Linked DNA regions of Mytilus edulis. The main gene of each other region encodes a partner of the protein of the gene in region 2 in a complex. Links are inferred from orthologs where the notes say so. Each region holds a gene or a part of one and is shown on either strand. Other genes may lie near its edges. The genes, in order: N(6)-adenosine-methyltransferase non-catalytic subunit METTL14-like and RNA-binding protein spenito-like.

Evidence for each region.
Region 1: RNA-binding protein spenito-like (region 2) and N(6)-adenosine-methyltransferase non-catalytic subunit METTL14-like share a complex: the UniProt entries of both Drosophila melanogaster proteins name them as parts of the WMM complex. The link is inferred for Mytilus edulis from reciprocal best matches to the Drosophila melanogaster genes nito and Mettl14.

What each region holds. Positions count from the first base shown.
Region 1 is NC_092352.1:28,717,505-28,727,965, reverse strand, and holds the start of N(6)-adenosine-methyltransferase non-catalytic subunit METTL14-like, read left to right. Parts: upstream 1-6,016; 5' UTR 6,017-6,090; coding exon 6,091-6,156; intron 6,157-10,361; coding exon 10,362-10,447; intron 10,448-10,461. Other genes in the region: putative uncharacterized protein DDB_G0279653, read right to left, coding at 2,958-3,318, 3,518-3,933. UniProt on the Drosophila melanogaster protein: Non-catalytic component of the WMM complex, a complex that mediates N6-methyladenosine (m6A) methylation of mRNAs, a modification that plays a role in the efficiency of mRNA splicing and is required for sex determination.
Region 2 is NC_092344.1:101,820,788-101,830,821, forward strand, and holds the start of RNA-binding protein spenito-like, read right to left. Parts: upstream 4,419-10,034; 5' UTR 4,144-4,418; coding exon 1,986-4,143; intron 1-1,985. UniProt on the Drosophila melanogaster protein: RNA-binding protein that acts as an associated component of the WMM complex, a complex that mediates N6-methyladenosine (m6A) methylation of mRNAs. M6a modification plays a role in the efficiency of mRNA splicing and is required for sex determination.

The DNA.
Region 1 (10,461 bases), on a different chromosome or scaffold from region 2:
ATATGGCACTTCTGTGGTGATTGTAACACCAGAAAAATAGAGAAAATACAGGAGCGTGCCCTAAGATTTATATATGAAGACTATTGTAGTACTTATCAATAACTTATAATTAAATCAAAATTACCAAGCTTAGAAATCAGAAGAATTAGAATGATAGCAATAGAGGTATATACAATTATTAATAAACAATGTCCATTATATCTACATGAACTTATTGAAATCAAAAAATGTAATTACTCTTTTAGAAATAATAACATAGCAGATGTTCCCAGGGTAAGGACAACTACCCATGGGCTACACTCATTTAGATACGCAAGAGCCAAACTCTGGAACGAACTGCCAAATAAGATGAGGGAAGAAATGCCATTGGGTCAGTTTAAAAGCTTGGTTGGTAATTGGGAGGGCAGTTCGTGTCAGTGTTCCTCCTGCAGATCTCAGTGAGCTGTAGATCAGTTTATTTATTTGTCTTGTATACTCTGGCTTTTAAATTATTAGGCATAATTTTTTATTTGTGTTCTAAATGCTTGAATTACTTTTAGTGCTTTATAATAGCTATTGCATGAATGATAGTTTATCTGCATTTTATGTTTGCTTATATGCTTTAATTGTGCTTATTAATTGCTTTGCTTGATAACATTATTTATTTTGCATGATGTGCTTTATGTTTTATGTGTTTTATGTATTGTGCTCGTCTTATATGTATGTCGGATAAAAGCTCTACAGAGCTTATGTTGTATTGTTATATGTATAACCGACTTTAAATAAATCTTTTATGCTTTATGCTTTATGCTTTATGATTCAAGCGTTATCCATCTCTAGCTAAGGGGTTGAATTGAAAAGTGAATACGGATTGGATGAGGTCGAATTTTTCACTTGCAAGTGAATAATTCATCAATTCATCATGTTTCTTAGCTTATTTTAAAAAAAAAAAGAACAATACTGGCTGCTAAAAGCGAATAAATATTTCACTCTTTCGCTTTCATTAATGATAGAACAAAAAAACTTATATAAATAAATAAGATCAACCCACATAAAGCCACCGGCCCAGATAACACCAGTGGTCGCTTACTGAAAGAAATGCAGACAGAAATTGCACCAATTCGATGCTTAATTTTTAACAAATCTTACAATACTGGTATTACACCTAACGACTGGAAACACGCTAGAGTCGCACGTGCATATAAAAAGGGGGATAACCATAAACCGGTCAAATATAGACCTATCTCATTAACTTGTATATTCTGCAAGTTAAGGGAACACATAGTAACATCACATATTATGAAACATCTCGAATCAAATAACATCTTGTATGACCTCCAACATGGCTTTCGGCACTCTTGATATTGCGAGACATAACTTTTCTCCTTCATCTAAAAACTTCAATCCACAAACAATTCAAATACACAAAGAAACCTTGTAATAATGGACTTTGCGAAGGCCTTTAATAAAGTTCCGCATCGTCACTTAGTTACTTTACAAATTACACTACTAAATATTTTGGCATTAATGGAAACACTTTAAACTGGATCTCTGCATTTCTCTCCGATCGAACCCAAACAGTTGTTCTGGATGGAAGATCATCAAGCACAGTCCCAGTCACCTCTGGGGTTCCACAAGGTACTGTCTTAGGTCCAGTATTATTCTTGGCTTATATTAATGACCTTCCAGACTACCTTACAAACTAAGATTACTTGCTGATGACAGCATCATATATATGCCAGTTAAATCCTAGAGTGACTGTTTAAAACTGCAAGCTGACCTTGATGCAGCTGCAAAATGGGAGGAGGACTGGATGATGGCCTCCCACCAAGACAAGTGTAATGTTCTCTCTGTCACAACTAAACGTCAACCTTTACAACATAATTACACTCTTCACAATCATATTTTAGAATCTGTTACATCTGCTAAGTACTTACATTACAATCAAACCTTAAATAGGACAAACACATAGATGACAATATCTCGAAAGCCATCAAAACACTCTGAACAACACTCAATTCAGTAGCTTCCTGTAAAATGTTTATGATATCAATTGCTTGTTGTTCTACATCAGTTTCCTTTTTGCATTTCAGTCTTCTTCCTCACTTGAATTACCTTTGGTTGGTAATTTTCTATGTTTTTTTCTTCCCATTTCAGAATAGTTTTCTTTTTGCTTGTTGTGCTGATCATCTAAGTTTTCCCCTTAACGATCAGGTTGTGTTTTGCCTTTACTGGTACATGTGCTGAACTGTTAAGTAGATGTTGGTCCATAATCGCTGAATCCAAAAGATTACTGCCTCTGAAGTTGTACTCTATCTGCGAGGTGGAATTTTTATTATGGTGATAAAAAGTAGGTTTGTGAGTATTTTTAACTATGCTTTTAATAGCTGATGTTGACTGCAGAAGTTCTTAAGCAAATTGTCATGGTTATTATTTCTACTTTGCATGAGTGTTCCATTCAAATCCCCCACTATGAAGACATTGTGTGTTTGCTCATATTTATCAATAATTGACGAAATTTTATCCAGTTGTTCTCTGTACTCTTTGTCTGATCCTGTTGCCATTGTTGGCATATATCTATTAATTAGGATTACTTTAACTGGTTCAGACTAAATTTCGATGACTATTCTTCTTTTTCTAGCTTCCTGATCTTATGTGAGATTGTTGGAGGCCATATAGTTATTACTCCCCCATTCCCCCTTCTTCTTTGTAGTTCCAAATCAACTAGATTATCATCAAAGCTTGAGATATGATAGTCGCAGTCTGGCAGAATTTCTTTTAGTGCGACTAATTCATATCCGTGTAACCAATGCAAGCATAGAATTGTGTTTGTTTTTAAAAGTTCTTTCAGATATACATTGCTGCCTTTCATTCTCTCAATGTTCATTGAGACAATGTCTAGCATTGTCTCAGTAGTATTTCGGTCTCCTGTCCAAGTTTTTGGATGTCTGGTGGTTCCTTTGGTTGGTCTATTTTCCCTAAAAATACTGTTTTGGCTTTTCTTCTTCTGTTGAATGTTGAGGAAGGTTCATTGAAGGATGGTCAACATGTTGATTATTAGGAACTGTTATTTCAGTGTCAGGAGTTGCAGTAATTGTTGGTGTTTCTTTTAGGTTTTGTTCTTCATTTAGCAGAGACTCTGGATTTGTAAGTTTATCAAATGCTTGGGTCAGTTTAATTTCTGTTTCGGCATGACTTAGCGGACTTGAGCTACCTTCTGATTTGGACTTTTCTTTTCTTTGCCCATTATCACTGTGTCTTTCTACTGATATTTTGTTATGGTTATAGAGATTACTATTCTGTTGATAAGGTGGTGGTGGCACTCTCGGCAGTCCTTGTCTTAGTAGATCATCGTGATGCACTGAGTTGTAGTGTAATTAATCAATTTGACTGACTTGGTCTTGCCTTGAATAAAACTGGAGTTGACCGTTTAAATAAGATTGACCTTGTCCATTAGTATAGGGATCATTTTGATGTCGACTTTTTCCAGAGTTGTACCCTTTTGTTATCATTTTGCTGATGTTGTTCAGAGTTATACCCTCTTGGATCATTTTGAAGATGTTGATTTTGTCCAGAGTAATACCCTCTTTGGTCTTTTTGTTGTTGCCGATGTGGTCCAGAGTTAAATCTTCTCAGATGATTTTGGTGAATTTGACTTTGCTCTGAGTTATATTGATACCCTCTTGGATCATTTTGTTGATGTTGACCTTGCCAAGAGTTCAAACATCCTGGGTCATTTTGATGTTGTTTTTGATTTTGTCCAGAGTTAAACCCTCTTGGATCAGCTTGATGTTGGCTTTGTTCAGAGTTATACCTTTTTGGATCCATTTGATGTTGATTTTGTCCAGAGTTATACCTTCTTTGGTCATTTTGATGTAGAATTTGTCCAGAGATATACCCTCTTGGATCAGTTTGATGTTGGATTTGTCCAGAGTTATACCCTCTTGGATCCATTTGATGTTGATTTTGTCCAGAGTTATATCTTTATAGCTGCTTTAGCCTCATATCCATCATTTGCCCATGCATTTCTTGTTTTATCTGTTTTTGAAGCTCATCTCTCATTTGATCTATATTGCTTCTATTCAGATTTTCTTGTTCTATATTTGGTTGCCTTTTCATGCTATTGATGTTATCTGCTGGCTGTCCATTACTTTGAATGATCTCCGTGTTTTTCTTTAGTAAATCTATTGTTTTGTCTTGATTCTTAATGCGCTATTCTAATGAGCTTATATAAGCTATCTGTTCTAATTCAAGTTTCCGGTTTTGCTGGTTTTTCTTGTTGCTTCTTTTAACCGTTTGTTTCTGGTTCTGTTTATCTATATTTCTATTGTTTCCATATGCACTTAAAATAGCACCTTCCAATGGCTGAGTTTAAAACTGAGGTTTGCTCCTCCACAGGGTGCAGAGATTGTCTATTCATTGTGTCTGATTCTCCCACAGGATTTAAACATATTGATGGGAGCAGTTTTTACCACAGAACACCACAGAATACCAAAGAAACACCATAGAATACCTCATATTTTCCTGGCATTACAAAAATTCTGAAAAACATGAACCCTCACAAAGCCACCGGTCCAGACAACATTAATGGTTGAGTTCTAAAAGAACTACACAAACAAATAGCACCAATACTGCAGCTCATATTCAAAAAGTCATTTCACGCTAGGCAAACTCCAACATACTGGATGCATGCTAACGTCGCTCCAGCTTTTAAAAAAGGAGATAAACACAAAGCAGTAAACTACCGACCTATTTCATTAACTTGCATCTGTTGCAAGTTAGGAACACATAGTCACAAAACATCTTATGAATCACCTCGAAAATAACAACATCCTCTATGATCTCCAACACGGCTTCCGAAATTCACGCTCATACGAAACTCAACTTCTTTCCTTCATACAAGAATTATCAGAAACAGACAATAAAAATTTCAAACAGATTTAGTTATTATGGATTTTGCTAAGGCATTTGATAAAGTTCATCACCGAAGACTTCTCTGTAAATTACAGTACTACGACATCTCTGGACAAACACTAAACTTGATAAAAGCATTTCTTTCCAACCGTACACAAACTGTTGTCATAGATGGAAAGTCATCCTCCCTGTCACTTCTGGTGTTTCACAAGGTACTGTATTGGGCCCTGTCTTGTTTCTGGTCTACATTAATGACCTGCCAGACTACTTGACCCACAGCATGCTCAGGCTATTCGCAGATGATACCATAATATACAGACCGATCAAATCCCAGAGTGACTGTGATAATCTCCAAGTAGATCTAGATGCGGCAGCTAGTTGGGAGAGGGACTGGCTGATGGCTTCAGTCCATCCAGATAAATGTACTGTGCTATCTGTCACCAAAAAGAAACGACCTATACAGCACAACTACATTGTAAATGGTCATACACTGGAATCAGTCACATCAGCTAAGTACCTTGGTGTCACAATACAGTCAAACCTAAAGTGGGATAAACATATAAATGACATTACATCCAGAGGCAACAAATCACTGGGTTTCCTACATATTCATACATCAAAAGAGTCCTACAGACATTCATACTTTCCATATTCAATATCACAGTGTAACCAGCTCCCTGTGGTACCAGGCACCATCCATTGATAGCTTCAAAGAACAGCTCACTTCAGCTGTTCTCTGTCTATTAATAAAAAGCATCAATTTAAATTGTATATAGTCATGATAGTTTTAATCACAAATTTGACATTTTATTGCACTTTAATTATATTTCGTTTAAATTGGGGTAAAAAATTGGTAAATAGTCCACGTATGCGAACTGTATGTAATCATCGAAGTCGATGGAATATTGTATACCTAAAGAAGAAGAAGATAAGTGGTGTCCTTTTATCGAACGTTGCTACGCACGATTTAAGAAATAAAATATTGGTATTTAGATATAAACGTAAAACGTAAAAACAAATGTCTTTTTATTTTTTCACTACTTTCAATGTCTTTTTTTGTATGGAAAAGTGATATTTTTCACTATCGAATGAACACGTTGACTCCTATGGAATAAGTTTGTTATAAGTAGTTGTCGTAAAAGTTCAATCGACTGGTATATTTAGGTACCAGACAAACCCAGCTAGTACGCGGAAAATATGGGTGATAGATTAAAAGAGCTGCGAGAAAGATCACAGAAAAGAAAACAGCTGCTTGCACAAGCAGTAAATGATTTTTAATCTCAATTTTTAAAATGAAAACTATGAAAGATTCAGTTGTTTACTGTTCATCCTTGTCTTTTGTTGAATGTTCTTAAACTTTCACTTTGATGAAAACAAGGATTTGTATAGCTATAAATCTTACTAAACAAATCCTTGTCATGAATAACTTCGGCTCTGTGAATTTATCATATCAATAATTTGTCTGCCATTACTGGTTTCAACAAAGGTTCCCTTAAAATTGTGACGTCTTTAAACAATAAACCTTATCGTTATTTGTTCGCCATTTAATACTGGACATCACACAGGATCCATTAAAATTTGACGTCATAATACAAAATACCTGTTGCCACCATGGAAAAGAGATTGTTGTATGACGTCAACAGGGCTCACACTACTTCAGAATTATAGGGAGAAGTGACTTCTCTTTTTGAAACTGATAGGGAGAAGTGGTGAGATTTGAAAGAGAAGTGCTCATTTGCATGGTACGCTACAATGTTTGGATTTTACAATAGTATAAAGGGCCATATGTAAATAATGTTCTTTTTATATTGTTCAATTCATACCTGAGTAAAAAAATTACAATTAAAGTAACAATTGAAATTAAAAGTTGTTTAAGTTTTACTAAGTAAGTTCTTGTGGGAAACTATCAACTAATTATCTAGCACTAAAAAAAAAAACAATTTTAAAAATGTAAAGAAATTATGATATATCAATTACAATTTAATTAAAAATTATCTTGTGTATGAAATTCAGTGTTTTTCATAAAAAAATATAAAATTTATTAAGCTGGGCCATAATATATTGATATTAGTATAATAGTCTCAGAGTTAAGCAACTTTAATCAATAGTTTAAAACAATCCATAAAAAATATAGGGAATTATATACACCAATCAATTAGATGTAACAAAAAGTCTCTTAATGCGAGTGGAATGCGTAATTTTTCCCTTTGGGATCAATATTCTTCTGTCAGCTGTTCCATCCGTGCGTCCGTAGTAATTATTGTAAAAGTACGGATTTCGGTCATAGCTTGTCCGGTTCAGATCAGTAGTTTAGAAATCGGTCAATGGCGGACGAATGAAAGAAAATTTACAAAAATAAACGATGTTTGACAAGTTATTTGGAAAGGAACATGACGTTTTTAATGCAATAAATGGATTAAACATTTACCGGAGGCAACCTTTATCACGTTTAAATGAAGTAACAAACTTATTTTGCCGCCGAAATTTAGGTTAATGTACGTTTTTGAGTAACAAGCCCCGGAACTTGCGGAGATGCACGAAGTGATAAAAAGTTGTATTTTTATCAAATAACCTGCTACACACTGCAAAGACAATGCTTCAACCTCTTTTCTAAAGATAATGAATCGTTTATGTCTGAATTTCTTTAATTATCAATAAAAAATTGATGTTTCATCAACTTGGTAAAAATTGAAAATTATGTCCGATGACGAAAGCGACTGAAAGCGAGTATCGTCAAGAACAGGGCGACTTGTTTTCGCTTTTGGGGGTTGGGGAAAACGGAGTGACGGTCGGGAAGGCGACTTCTTCGCCCAAGTCGCCTGGTAGCGTGAGCCCTGGTTGATTTTATACATTTTTTAGCCATCTGTACCTATATACAGGAATAGATATTTTCATGTGCCTTATAAAGATCTTTCTGAGTCTAGATAATCCACTATTTTTTTAACACTTATTACAATGCTACTTTCATTCTCGTCAAGCTGAAAAAAGTGGATGTTCAAAAGTCGGAACAATCATTGTTCATAGTTAAAAAATCCTGTTTAATTCAAATATAAAATTTCAAATTGTGAGTTTAGATTATTGTGATTTTAACCCTGTCACATTATCATGATTATATAAGCTACAGTCTCATTTTAAGATATGAAGAATTCCTTTTAATTGTTTAACAGACACATGAACATATATATATATTGACAGGACTTGACACTACCTAATTGTAGCAGATTTCATCTTCGCGTCATCATTTATAAAGATACAATGTGGAAATGGACATGTGTTAAAAATGTACTTGCTATTATCCTAATAATTTCAGATAATATCAATAAAATGTCATTCAAACTAAGTTTTATAGTAATGTTAGTGCATTGAACTTGTAATCTGTCACTTCATAATTGTTATAAGCACATTCATATCATCACAGAAGGGTACAGAATACAAACCATTCAATCAAAAAATGTTGCTGATGGCATTCCAAAACCATTATATAACATTTCACATCAAATAAACCACACTTATCTTGGTAAATTTACATGACAAAATATATCTACTTTATGATAAGACTTATATTTATATATGAATTATGTGTTTAACTCATACATGTGAACCTCCCGACCGGAGTACAATAATCCCGTTTTCAGGGGTTTCCTCCCGTCCTCCAGTTTAGGAGAAAAAAATCCTGTGTATGAAATATTTTATGAATGGAAATTTTTAGCCGCCTTTTTTTGGGATACGATTGCTTTTAAGCAATCTGTAGACGTATACCGTTGGCTCAGGGCCATGCCCTCACGTCAACCGTTTTATTCTAAACATTAAGGAACATCTCAGATTCTTATGATTGTCTTGCTTTAAATGGTAAAAACAAACAAAGGGATTGAACTTTAACTTTCCTTCAATGTTCTTTTCATAATCTTCATGTTTGATATTTCCCTTGACTTATATGCATGTTTTTAACAACACAGAAAATCAGAATTAAGCAGTATTTATATTTAGTGTTTTTATAAATTTAGAAACATGTCAGAGGGAATTCCCCAGTTTTGATAAAAATGCGAGAGTTCTCTGAATTCCGATAAATCTATTTATAGATCATATACATGTAAGAACTGAAGTGGAGATTTTCTTATGCATGTTTTATGTCACCGTTATGAAACTGATATTTGATATTGTACTGCCATAAAGAAATAGAGAACCATCTAGGTCGTTTAATTAACATTTAAAATACGTTCTTGCTCCAGGGTTTGTTTAGGTAATTATGTGCATGCGTATAGTTTTCTTGACTTCAAGGGGTATTAGATTGAATGGTTGCTCTGGATTCCCTACTCAATTGATTGATTTAAAACTCATGGGATCCTTTCTATGTATGTCTGCTATTTAGGGTTATTGTTGTTGCATAATTTTAAATCATATGCATATTTTAAATTTTTTTAAAATGTAGTCCACATCGTCAAGGTGTATCTACAACACCCCTTTAGGCGAAATAGAGTCTTCCATATTATATTTTCGAGTTGTCTCCCTTCCGGAAGTAACTTCCGTCAATTCTGATACGATACAACACGTCGAGAAAAATTAACTTGTTCTGTCGATAAACATCGTATTATATTAAATTATTATTATAACTTGTACACAACACATATAAGACACACGAAGCAAATTCCTGAAGTGAAATTAAATTGTACTTTTATTCAATTCAATTCAATACTTTATTGGAAAGATCACAATATGATCCAAATTCAGATAATAATATATTCAACAATTACATCTACTTAAAATGAAATAAAAATTAATTACAATGTACCAACAAGTCATATTTAGTCAATTATACTCATTAAATTATAGATATGGTCTATGGATACCATAACATTCAGAATTCTTAATGATACTTTACACATATAGTATGATTATTCTAAGTTTTCATTCGTCCTGAACATGCATGAAATATTTGCCACTGGACATTAAGCAACCAACAATCAATCAATCTAAGTTTTCATAATTTTACTTTAAAAACACTATCGCCTTTATGAAATATATCTGTAAATGCACAAGAAGCTAAAAAAAATATTTTTCGAAGAAACAATATGGTGGTTTATCAAATAAAATGCTTCTTCAATATATATTTATTGACTGAAAATGAATTACATCTCAAAATTATATACATGTTCATCAATATCTGTAAAAGCAGTATAACACGTGGTCATTAAAAATAAAGTGTTCAGGTAACAGATTTGTTCATGAACCAATATACAGATCTTGGGAGATCTTGAGAAATCGTGGCACCAATGATATCCTGTATATGGCCATAGTTTTTTCCCCCATTGTTGATTTATTAACAACTAGTCTAATTTATGCACCTGACTAAGAAAAACATGTTAAATGTATAATAACAAAATTTGATTCAACCAGTAAAAATGGTATCTCAATTTATATTTTGACTGAGCTGTTATTCTATATTAAAAGTTGTCATCCTTTTTTTCCAGTTTGGTGTTGATAGTCCTGATGGATTGAAGAAAGTTCTGAAGAGTAAAGATGAAATACTTAATGAAGAGAAACCTAGCAAAACTGGGTATGCATAACACA
Region 2 (10,034 bases):
TAGAAGACTAGCCTGTAATTCAGTGGTTGTCACTTGATTATGTGTTACACATTTGTTTTTAGTTCATTTTTTGTACATAAATAAGGACGTAAGTTTTCTCGTTTGAATTGTTTACATTGTCATTTCAGGGCCTTTTATAGCAGACTATGCAGTATGGGCTTTGCTCATAGTTGAAGGCTGTACAATGACCTATAGTTGTTAATTTCTGTGTCATTTGGTCTCTTGTGGAGAGGTGTCTCATTGGCAATCATACCGCATCTTCTTTTTTATATTCAATAGCTCAAAAGGTCATTACCAAAATTTAAGCAGATTCTAGATTACTTTTTTCGCAATTTAAGACCCAAATGCAAATGCTAAATGTAAGGAATAATCAAATATCTTGATAAACTTTTTGTCTTGAATAAAATTGAGAATAGAAATGGGGAATGTGTCAAAGAGACAACAACACAACCAAAGATATATTTAGCTATTTTGTTCCTTAACTAATGTTCTTCTGACTTGGTATCAATTCTAAATTCTGGATTTATTTTTAAATTTCACCTGACTACATCCTTTAAATAAGTTTGGATTACCAATATGAGCAGCATATTTGATAAACTGTATTTAAAGTGTAAAAAACTTATTTAAAAATATAAATTGTCTCAACTTACAAATGGCTTACGAGTGGAATACCACCTTTGTTAGCACAAAATAATTTACAATGTATAACAACTGCACCATGCATCACTAAAAATAATTGAATACCAGGATATGACAAAGTATGCAACATATTTTTACTTAACAGGGGCCTTAAATCATACAATGTACATAATAAAGTTCTTCAACAAAAATAATATAACAAAAAAATAGGAAAATATAAGCATTTATAAAGCCAACGGCGAACACTGACATTTTAAACCCTTAATTATAAGCTTTAAGTACAAAATATGTTTTGCACAATTTTCAGCCCTAATGTAACCCTGCTTATTAAATTAAAATGTATGCAAAAAAAAGCTAAATTTGTTGTTTCTATGCTACTGCAACATAAAACATACACATATTTGATCATTTCTTTTTCATGTTTTCAGACTGTTGTGCAAATTCAGACATGTAAAAATAAAAAAAATGTTTGAAAATACAAATACATATAAATGTATAAAATTTATTGCAAGAAATACTATTTCAAATGGAGCTTTTTAAATATTCTAATCCGAGATTCATGATATTCTGTGCCTTGAAATGCTGAAACTCATTATGTTAAGAACTAAACCACATACAACTGTCTATCATGCTTTTTGTTGAAAACTGTATTTTTATAACTTATTCAACATTTGTTCAATGATATTGAAAAAGTTACACATTGTTTATTATGTGGATTTATCAACAAATGTTTGTCTTTACAATAAACATCATTTAAAGTGTTGTTTAAAAACCAAACAAATGTAAAAGAATATTTGACCTTACTTAATTCCATTTCAATTATAAATGAACAATGATAACAAATTATACAATGAAGGAAAAATAAAAAGCACTGGCATGACTGGTAGTACAAAAATCAGGGGCGGATCCAGCCATTTTAAAAAGGGGGGGTTCCCAACCCAGAGTAAAGGGGGGGTTCCAGCTATATGCTCCCATTCAAATGCATTGATCGGTCAAAAAAAAGGGGGGTTCCAACCCCCAGAACCCCCCCTCTGGATCCGCACCTGAAAAATGTATTTAACTTTCCTGAATTGTAAAATTGTCATTCATCCCAGTCTGATCACTTTTAAAATATTCACAATATTTTTTCTAAAGTTTCAAAAATAAATATCATACAAATATTCTATATTTGACATAACGACAATCAGAAGAGAATACTGATAAATTATAAAGTAAGAAACAGATTAACTGAAGATTAAAAGTTATGTCAAAATTAGAATTAAGATCCATTTAACTTTTTTATATAAACATCTATAAATGTAAATTCTTAATTTAGAAATGATGTAAAAAAATATATTTAAATTAACCTGCGCCAGTAACAACTACTATGACCATATAATCATCTGGTACTAATTCACTTGGAAGATGGGTCGCTTTACTGGTCAAAAATTTGTAGCCAAATTCACATGGAGGAAATGCGTATAGAACACCAACATCATCTTTGTCCTTTGACTCATATGAAGGAAGGGAGATAACACCTGCTGCCTCTTTCTGTTTTAAGTAACTAACTAAATTTTTTAATGGTCTTTGTTGAACACTCGGGTCTTCATAGTTTTGAAGTGTGCTTGTCATAGCTAGCAAAATACAATGTCCTAATTTTCCAGCACTGGATACACGTTTTCCAACGTCTTCTAATTTAGGCTGGTCAAGCCTTAATCTCTGTTTGACCTTTAACACTGGTGTTTCTGTTGAATTAGGATCTCTCATTAGGGTATCAACAATGGTTACATTTCCACTTACAACATGCATTCTAGCAGGAAAAGCACTATTTTTCAAAATGACTGCACCATTCCATGCAACAGGTAAACACTTTGCAAGATCTGGTATTGAAGTTACATTTTCAATACCCATGTCTGAACTGTCAACTGAGTTCTTCCTTTCTTTCCTTGAATCGTCATGAGGATCAATTTCACCAAGTTCTCTTTCTTGTGAAAAAAGTGCTTTTTTCTCTCTTGATCTACCTCTAGACTCAGGGCCCTTACTAAACCTTTGATCAGGTGAAGTTGATATCTTCCTCCTCCTGTACTCGTCTGGAGATAAAGGTCTTTTTCTACCTTCTTCCCAACTACCACTATGTTTAAGTTCAATGTCAGGATTTCTATTATCATTTTCACGCCATTCTTCCCTTGTTCTACTTTCTTTACCTTCACGTCTTGATTCTTCATACAAGGAATTACCATCACGATGAGTGCTGTCTTGATTTTCGGGTATCATGATATGATTTGGATCTGCAAAATCAACCCGAAGACGTTTTTTATTCTCGGTTCCTCCCATTGGGGCACCACGCATTTCTTGACAAGCTGCTTGAGCAGCATCTAAATTATCATATAAAACATAGGCATAGTCTTTACCTCTAGGCCATTCTATTCTATTTATCATCCCAAATCGATCAAATTCTTGTTCAAGTGTTTCATGTGTAATCCATGAACCAAGACCACCAACCCATAAGCAAGTTGTTGCAGTCACTTTACCATAACCAATCTTACACTGAAACCTGCCAATATACTGGCCAGATTGTTCCACTTTGGCTTTGTGAGCACAGTCTAAATTTATGAACTTTATAAAGGCATAAGCATTTCCAGTGCCTCTTTGAGGTCTTTTTATATCGGTATCTTCTATTGTTCCATATCTCCCAAACACTGTTTTTAATTCTTGTTCAGAAATATTGTAATCAAGATTGCCTACAAATAATGTCCTGGTTGCATTTTCGTCATCCTCTGGCTGGATATGATCTAGATGATATGGGAATTTGTCATTTCGTTTAGGAGCATTATATGAGTCTCCTTGATTAAAATCTGGGGTTTCCCTTGGAGGCATGTTGCGAGGAGGTCCTTGGTAAAATCCACGACCAGATGGTCTTCTACTGCTAGGATATCCTCTAAAAGATCCCCTTCCTCTATAATTACTGCTACCATAATTGTCATGGCGCTCATAATGAAAATTATCGTTTCCGGGGCTATGGCTTCGTTTCTTTTGATACACAGCTTCTATTCTTACAGGACGATCAAAGAGAACAAGTTTGGATTTCAAATGTTTAGATTCACGTGCATCTTCTGGGTACCTGAAGTTTATATAAGCTACTCTAATATCACCACTATATGTAACATTAACATTGAATTCTCCAAATTTTTTGAACTCGTGATAGAGGGTCTCTTTCAAGACGGGAACAGGGATTTTCCCAGAGATATTACTTATACAAATAGATCTAAAGTCTGGTTGGTGTCTAGTATCAGGCCTAGAAGGTGGGGAATAATCCATTCGGTCATCTCTGTATTTAGCACGAGGACGGTCCATTTCATGATCAATGTTACGGTAAGATTTTTTCATAACCATGTCTCTGCGAGGGTCTCTTCGGTCGTACATATCTGGTGACATGCCTCTGCCCATATCATGATCTGACATGCGATATGATGACCTGGACCTTTTACTTATAGGGGAATGGTCTCTCATAGGTGAACGCTTCATTTTGCAGTATTATTTGCTTTCTTCGACAAAATCTTATTTCAGGACGCGATTCGTGTAGACATATTTCTTTCAACAGATTACTGCGCGTAAGTCAAAATATAATAACCTGTCATAATATTATTGGTTTTGCTCATGCATTTACCAGAGACAGGTACGAATACTTATATTTTATATCGCTGACACTTTTGAAACATTAATGTTTTTAGTATGTGTGTATCTATTTTGTGATCTATTTTGCGCTTCAAAATGTGATAATATGGTTGTAATTAGTACTTCCGGGGGCGTGGATGGTGGTTTGTAGAAAAGCATGATTATTGTCCGTATTCGTACCCGTCTAGCACTCATTTTTAAACATTCTTTTTTCCCTCCATATTTTTCGATAAGAATAGAAATATAAACAAAAATATCTGCGCTTTGAAGCAGGACAAATCGCCCCACAACAAATCACCAACTCGCCCCATTTAAAAAAAAATCGCTCACTTATAAAAAGGGTTATAATACGTTATTTCTTCTTCTTCTTCTTCTTCTTCTTCTTCTTCTTCTTCTTCTTCTTCTTCTTCTTCTTCTTCTTCTTCTTCTTCTTCTTCTTCTTCTTCTTCTTCTTCTTCTTCTTCTTCTTCTTCTTCTTCTTCTTCTTCTTCTTCTTCTTCTTCTTCTTCTTCTTCTTCTTCTTCTTCTTCTTCTTCTTCTTCTTCTTCTTCTTCTTCTTCTTCTTCTTCTTCTTCTTCTTCTTCTTCTTCTTCTTCTGGTATGAGATAAAAAAAAAACAAAAAAAACAAGATACATATTAAACATGCTGCAGGCTATTGGTTCAGGTAATTTGTTCCAGTCTTTTATAGTTTGGCAGAAAAATGAAAATTTGTAACTGTCTTTGCTGCATTGAATTTGTCGGTATGTTTGTTCGTGGCTAGACCTGGTGTTTGATTGGCTTTTAATTTATATGTCAGTATGTGGTATGACAATTTTGTTGTTTGTTATTCTATGGAACATATTTAATCTGCTTTTGAGTCTCCTTTCTTGTAATGTTGGCCAGTGAAGTGTGTTAATCATGTTTGTTACACTTTCAGTATATTTGTAGTTCGAGCATACATATCTAAATCATTTTTATTGGCTATGAGGTGGCGTGACTTAAATCATCAGGACTTACCGTTTTTATAAGTGGGAAGAATTAGCGTTCACGTCACGGAAATACTGATTCTCACTTCTTTCTTTTTTATTTCAACAAAAAGAAAAGAACTACAAAATAGATATAAGATGTGATATGAGTGCTAATGAGACAGCTCTCAATCCAAGTCACAATTCGTAAAAGAAAAACCATTATAGGTCAAAGTACGGTCTTCCACAAGGGAGCCTTGGATCACTACCGAACAGTAAGCCATACAGGCCCCAAAATGACTAGTGTAAAACCATTCATATCATTTAAAAACAGTGATAAGAAAAGTAAAAGCAACCCGGAAAAAGGAATCAAAGCCGCCATGCACGCATTTAGCACTAGCACAATCTAAAATTGATATTTACCAATCATGGTGCCTAAAATTTGCCATTTGTAACTTTCTTTTGTAGTAGAATGCCAAAATGTTTGGTTGTGTTTTTTCTTGTTTAATGTCTGTAAATACCCGACATCATTGACATGCGAAGGAAAGGTTCTAGGTGAAACAGAAGCAACGCTTTCTGTTTTTGTTTGAGTTTATCGGATCCCAGAGGTGGATTTAGGGCCGGGGGGGGGGGCAGGGGCCCGCCCCCCTTTTTTTGAAAAAAAGGTTGCTTATAAAGAGAATCACTGAAGCGTGACTGGAGTGGGCCCCCTCTTAGGCAGTCACTGGGCCCCACTTATGAAAATTTCTGGATCCGCCAGTGGATCCCAGTTCAAAAAAGCTGTGGCTAAACAAACTATATTTAGGAAACACACGAAAAGTAAAAATGCAAATAAATGTAAAGTTTGCCTTTAAGTAGACGCCACACCACAAATGCACAGAATCCAACGACTGACGTACTGTTAACTCGGGTTACTTGAATATCATAAACATATGGAGTACGATTATCCTATTTAATTAAAATACAGATCCGTGTCCGCCGACTCACAACGACTTATTATTTCATTATTTTTTCAATTCTTTATTAACCAAATGTTTTTCAACATATACTTAATTTAGATTACAAAATTGTACGATCATGACAAAACAGACAGAAATGTAAATATAATAACAAATAACAAATACATGTAACAATTGATTACATATCAACTTAAAAACAGTCATTTTAGAGCTTTGAACAGTGCTCTAAATATATATTTTCCTAACTTGCATAAGTCTTTTCAATCAGTCAGAAAGCACCTTTAAATTGTGGCCAACAAAAGACACAGTCAATTATAAAATTTAACAAGATTTATTATACAAAAGTTTACAAGAAGTATAACACCAATATTACTGTCAACTTTAAACTGTCAAAATATGAGTCCAGTCTTTTTTCTTTATCTGTATCCGGAAATCTTCTCAGAATCTAATCTGAATATTACGTTCACTACTAAGGTCACAATCCAGTCTGAGGTTGTTTGTAGAATAAAAGTGTGAATCAAAATGCTGTGAATACTAATTTCTATCGATGTCTAAGTCTGAGACTTTAGTGTCCGTATATGTATAGTTAGTGTAAACATATTTTATTAATTATATTCAGGTACATACATAGGCATTTACATAATAATACAAGTGAAATAATTAATAGGATCCAGAAACAAGCTCTTAGCTTATATTAATCCGTTTCCTAATAAGAACATTTCATATTTTAATACTCAAAGGGTAAAATGTTATAAAAAATAACAATGTTACACTAGATGGAAAGAAGAAATATGTATAGTTATCACGGAAATTTCTAGAAATGGAACGTCCTAGAAAGTTACAACGGATGTTTCTAGTAAAATGTAGAAGTTTAAATTACGCATCTTTTATTAGGATCCTTCTGGAATCATTATGTAAGTCAAATGGAAAGTTCCAATCATTCTGTGATTGTTCCAGTGATTTCTAAACTGTACAGTTATAAGACTTTTTTGTAAACAACTATCAGGCCACACAACACAAATTAGGCCAACATAAATAAATATAATAATTACAATATCATAACAATTTGTAAAGATTTATGAATAGATGGCTAACGCCAATAATATGGTTTTATCAAATTTTCACGCAATGCTGAATATGAAGGACATGATTAGATAAAATGCATTTCATCCTCTCTATATCATCTAGACACAATGTACAGATTCTAAGGTTTATATTTACATTAGAATACCTTACCTTTCCTATATAAATATAAGAAGATGTGGTGTGAGTGCCAATGAGACAACTCTCCATCCAAATAACAATTTATAAAAGTAAACCATTATAGGTCAATGTACGGCCTTCAACACGGAGCCTTGGCTCACACCGAACAACAAGCTATAAAGGGCCCCAAAATTACTAGTGTAAAACCATTCAATCGGGAAAACCAACGGTCTAATCTATATAAAAAGGAGAAACGAGAAACACGTATAAATTACATAAACAAACGATAACTACTGTACATAAGATTCCTGACTGCAAACATTTGCAGCGGGATTAAAGGTTTTAATGGTATCAAACCTTCTCCCTTTTTCTAAAATAATAGCATAACATCACAACATAGAAAAACACACGATAAATTATCAATTGACAGGCTTAACTCAATCAAAAAACGTAAATTAACAAACTATGAACTAATAATTTTGATCTGCGATATCTGCATGCAAATGCACAGTTAATAAAATATTAGGGACAAACATTCAAGGCCAAAAAGCAAACAAACAAGTCCAAACAAAGCCATGGCAAGACACCACTGCGAAATATCTAACCCTTTGAAAAAAATCACTTTTGAAAAAGCTATATTAGATGATGACAATCTAATATATTTGATCTGCGATATCTGCATGCAAATGCACAGTTAATAAAATATTAGGGACAAACATTCAAGGCCAAAAAGCAAACAAACAAATTTAGCAATACACTTTTGTAAATTTTGGGTATTGGTTTACATACATATGTGTGCAAAGAAAAATTTGATATCATATATCTACATGTATACAAAAAACATTTTGATGAACTATCTAAAGTAGCATCAAACTCTTGTTTGACAATGTCACACAGTCTCTGTTTATAACTATAATATGATGTTTGCATACAGAATAATCAGTTTGACGAAAACCACAAATCATTTTAAACTAAGGTGGAACAATTCTCCTCGTAGATTACAAACCCAGTTCTTATCAGTCATTTGGATTCTTCAAACAGATATCATATAAATAATTGTAACAACCAAGTAATATACAATTGTCGTAATTCAATACCTTAATCCAATATTTAAATTTACACAATTTCCTAGTGACTATGTTAAAGTTATTGACCAAGCAAGTCGGTATATATCTTTCAATCTGCGCGGCTCGGTGACCCTTATTAACCCGGACGACGTAGGAATTCGGTTTAAAGGGTCATCCGACCGTGCATATTAAATGATGTTTACCGATTTGATGATTGGCCAAAAACTGTTTTAACACACGACGCCATCAATTTACGTGAACGTTTTGAAAATATTCGGACGATATACCGCAATCCACGGCTCCTAGGAAAGTTTCTTGTAGGGTAAAGAAGACGAAATACGCAAATTAATGTAGCAAAAGATTGGTTAGTTTTAAATCATTACATGTAAATAAATATTGTCTAATATTACTAAATAAACAAAACATAGCTTCTCTGCCTGAAGTATTCAGCAACTTTTTTTTTGTGCAACAGAAAATGTTCCATTAAAATTAAGAACAAAGCTAGATAAGTAAATTTGTTAACTATATATCTATGTGTACATCATCATAAAACCATTTATTTTCTTCCTTTACTAACCCACCATTTCTAAAAAATATTGAAAATGTTTTCTTGGAGTAACAATCTACTCCATCATCATCCTCTCAGCTATGCGTTATTTTTTATAGCAACCATGCAGTCACAACCTCGGTGCAATAATAACATTAACGGTACCAATTTGTCTGCACCAGATGCGCATTTCGACAATACATGTCTCTTCAGTGATGCTCGTGGCCAGAATATTTGAAATCCAAAGCTTATATAAAAGATGAAGAGCTATAATCCAAAAGGTCCAAAAAGTATAGCCAAATCCGTGAAAGGAATCAGAGCTTTGCATGAGGGAGATACATTCCTTAATTTATAATAATTTCTAACATTTTGTAACAGTAAATTTTAATAACACAAACAATCCGTATTTTCATGCCAGTACCGAAGTACTGACTACTGGGCTGGTGATACCCCCGGGGACTAACAGTTCACCAGCAGAGGCATCGACCCAGTGGTAGTAATAACATTAACGTATGGAACGCCATGACTGCCTTATGTTAATGATCGGCATTATATGCAGTGCTCACAACATTATATGCAGTACTCACACCATTATATGCAGTGCTCACAACATTATATTAAGTGCTCACAACATTATACGCAGTGGTCCAAACATTATATGCAGTGGTCACAACATTATATGAAGTGGTCACAACATTATACGTTTTTTGTTGATCATGATGGTGATGATCGGTGATGGTGATGATGATGTTTGATGTATGATGAGATTGATGTATGATGAGATCATTCAGTAAACTTCGTTTTTTAGCGGAAATTACCGAATCCATAATTGGTAATGCCCAGCAAACAAATTTATAGACAATAATTACATTAGATGTATGTTTCATTATAATACGTTATTCTGATTGGCCAACTGCACATCTCGTCCTATTCCTGAAACAATTGTATTAGACAATAACATTTATCATTCATGATGACACGAGGTTCCACAATAAAGTGCACAGGTAAATTAAATGAAAA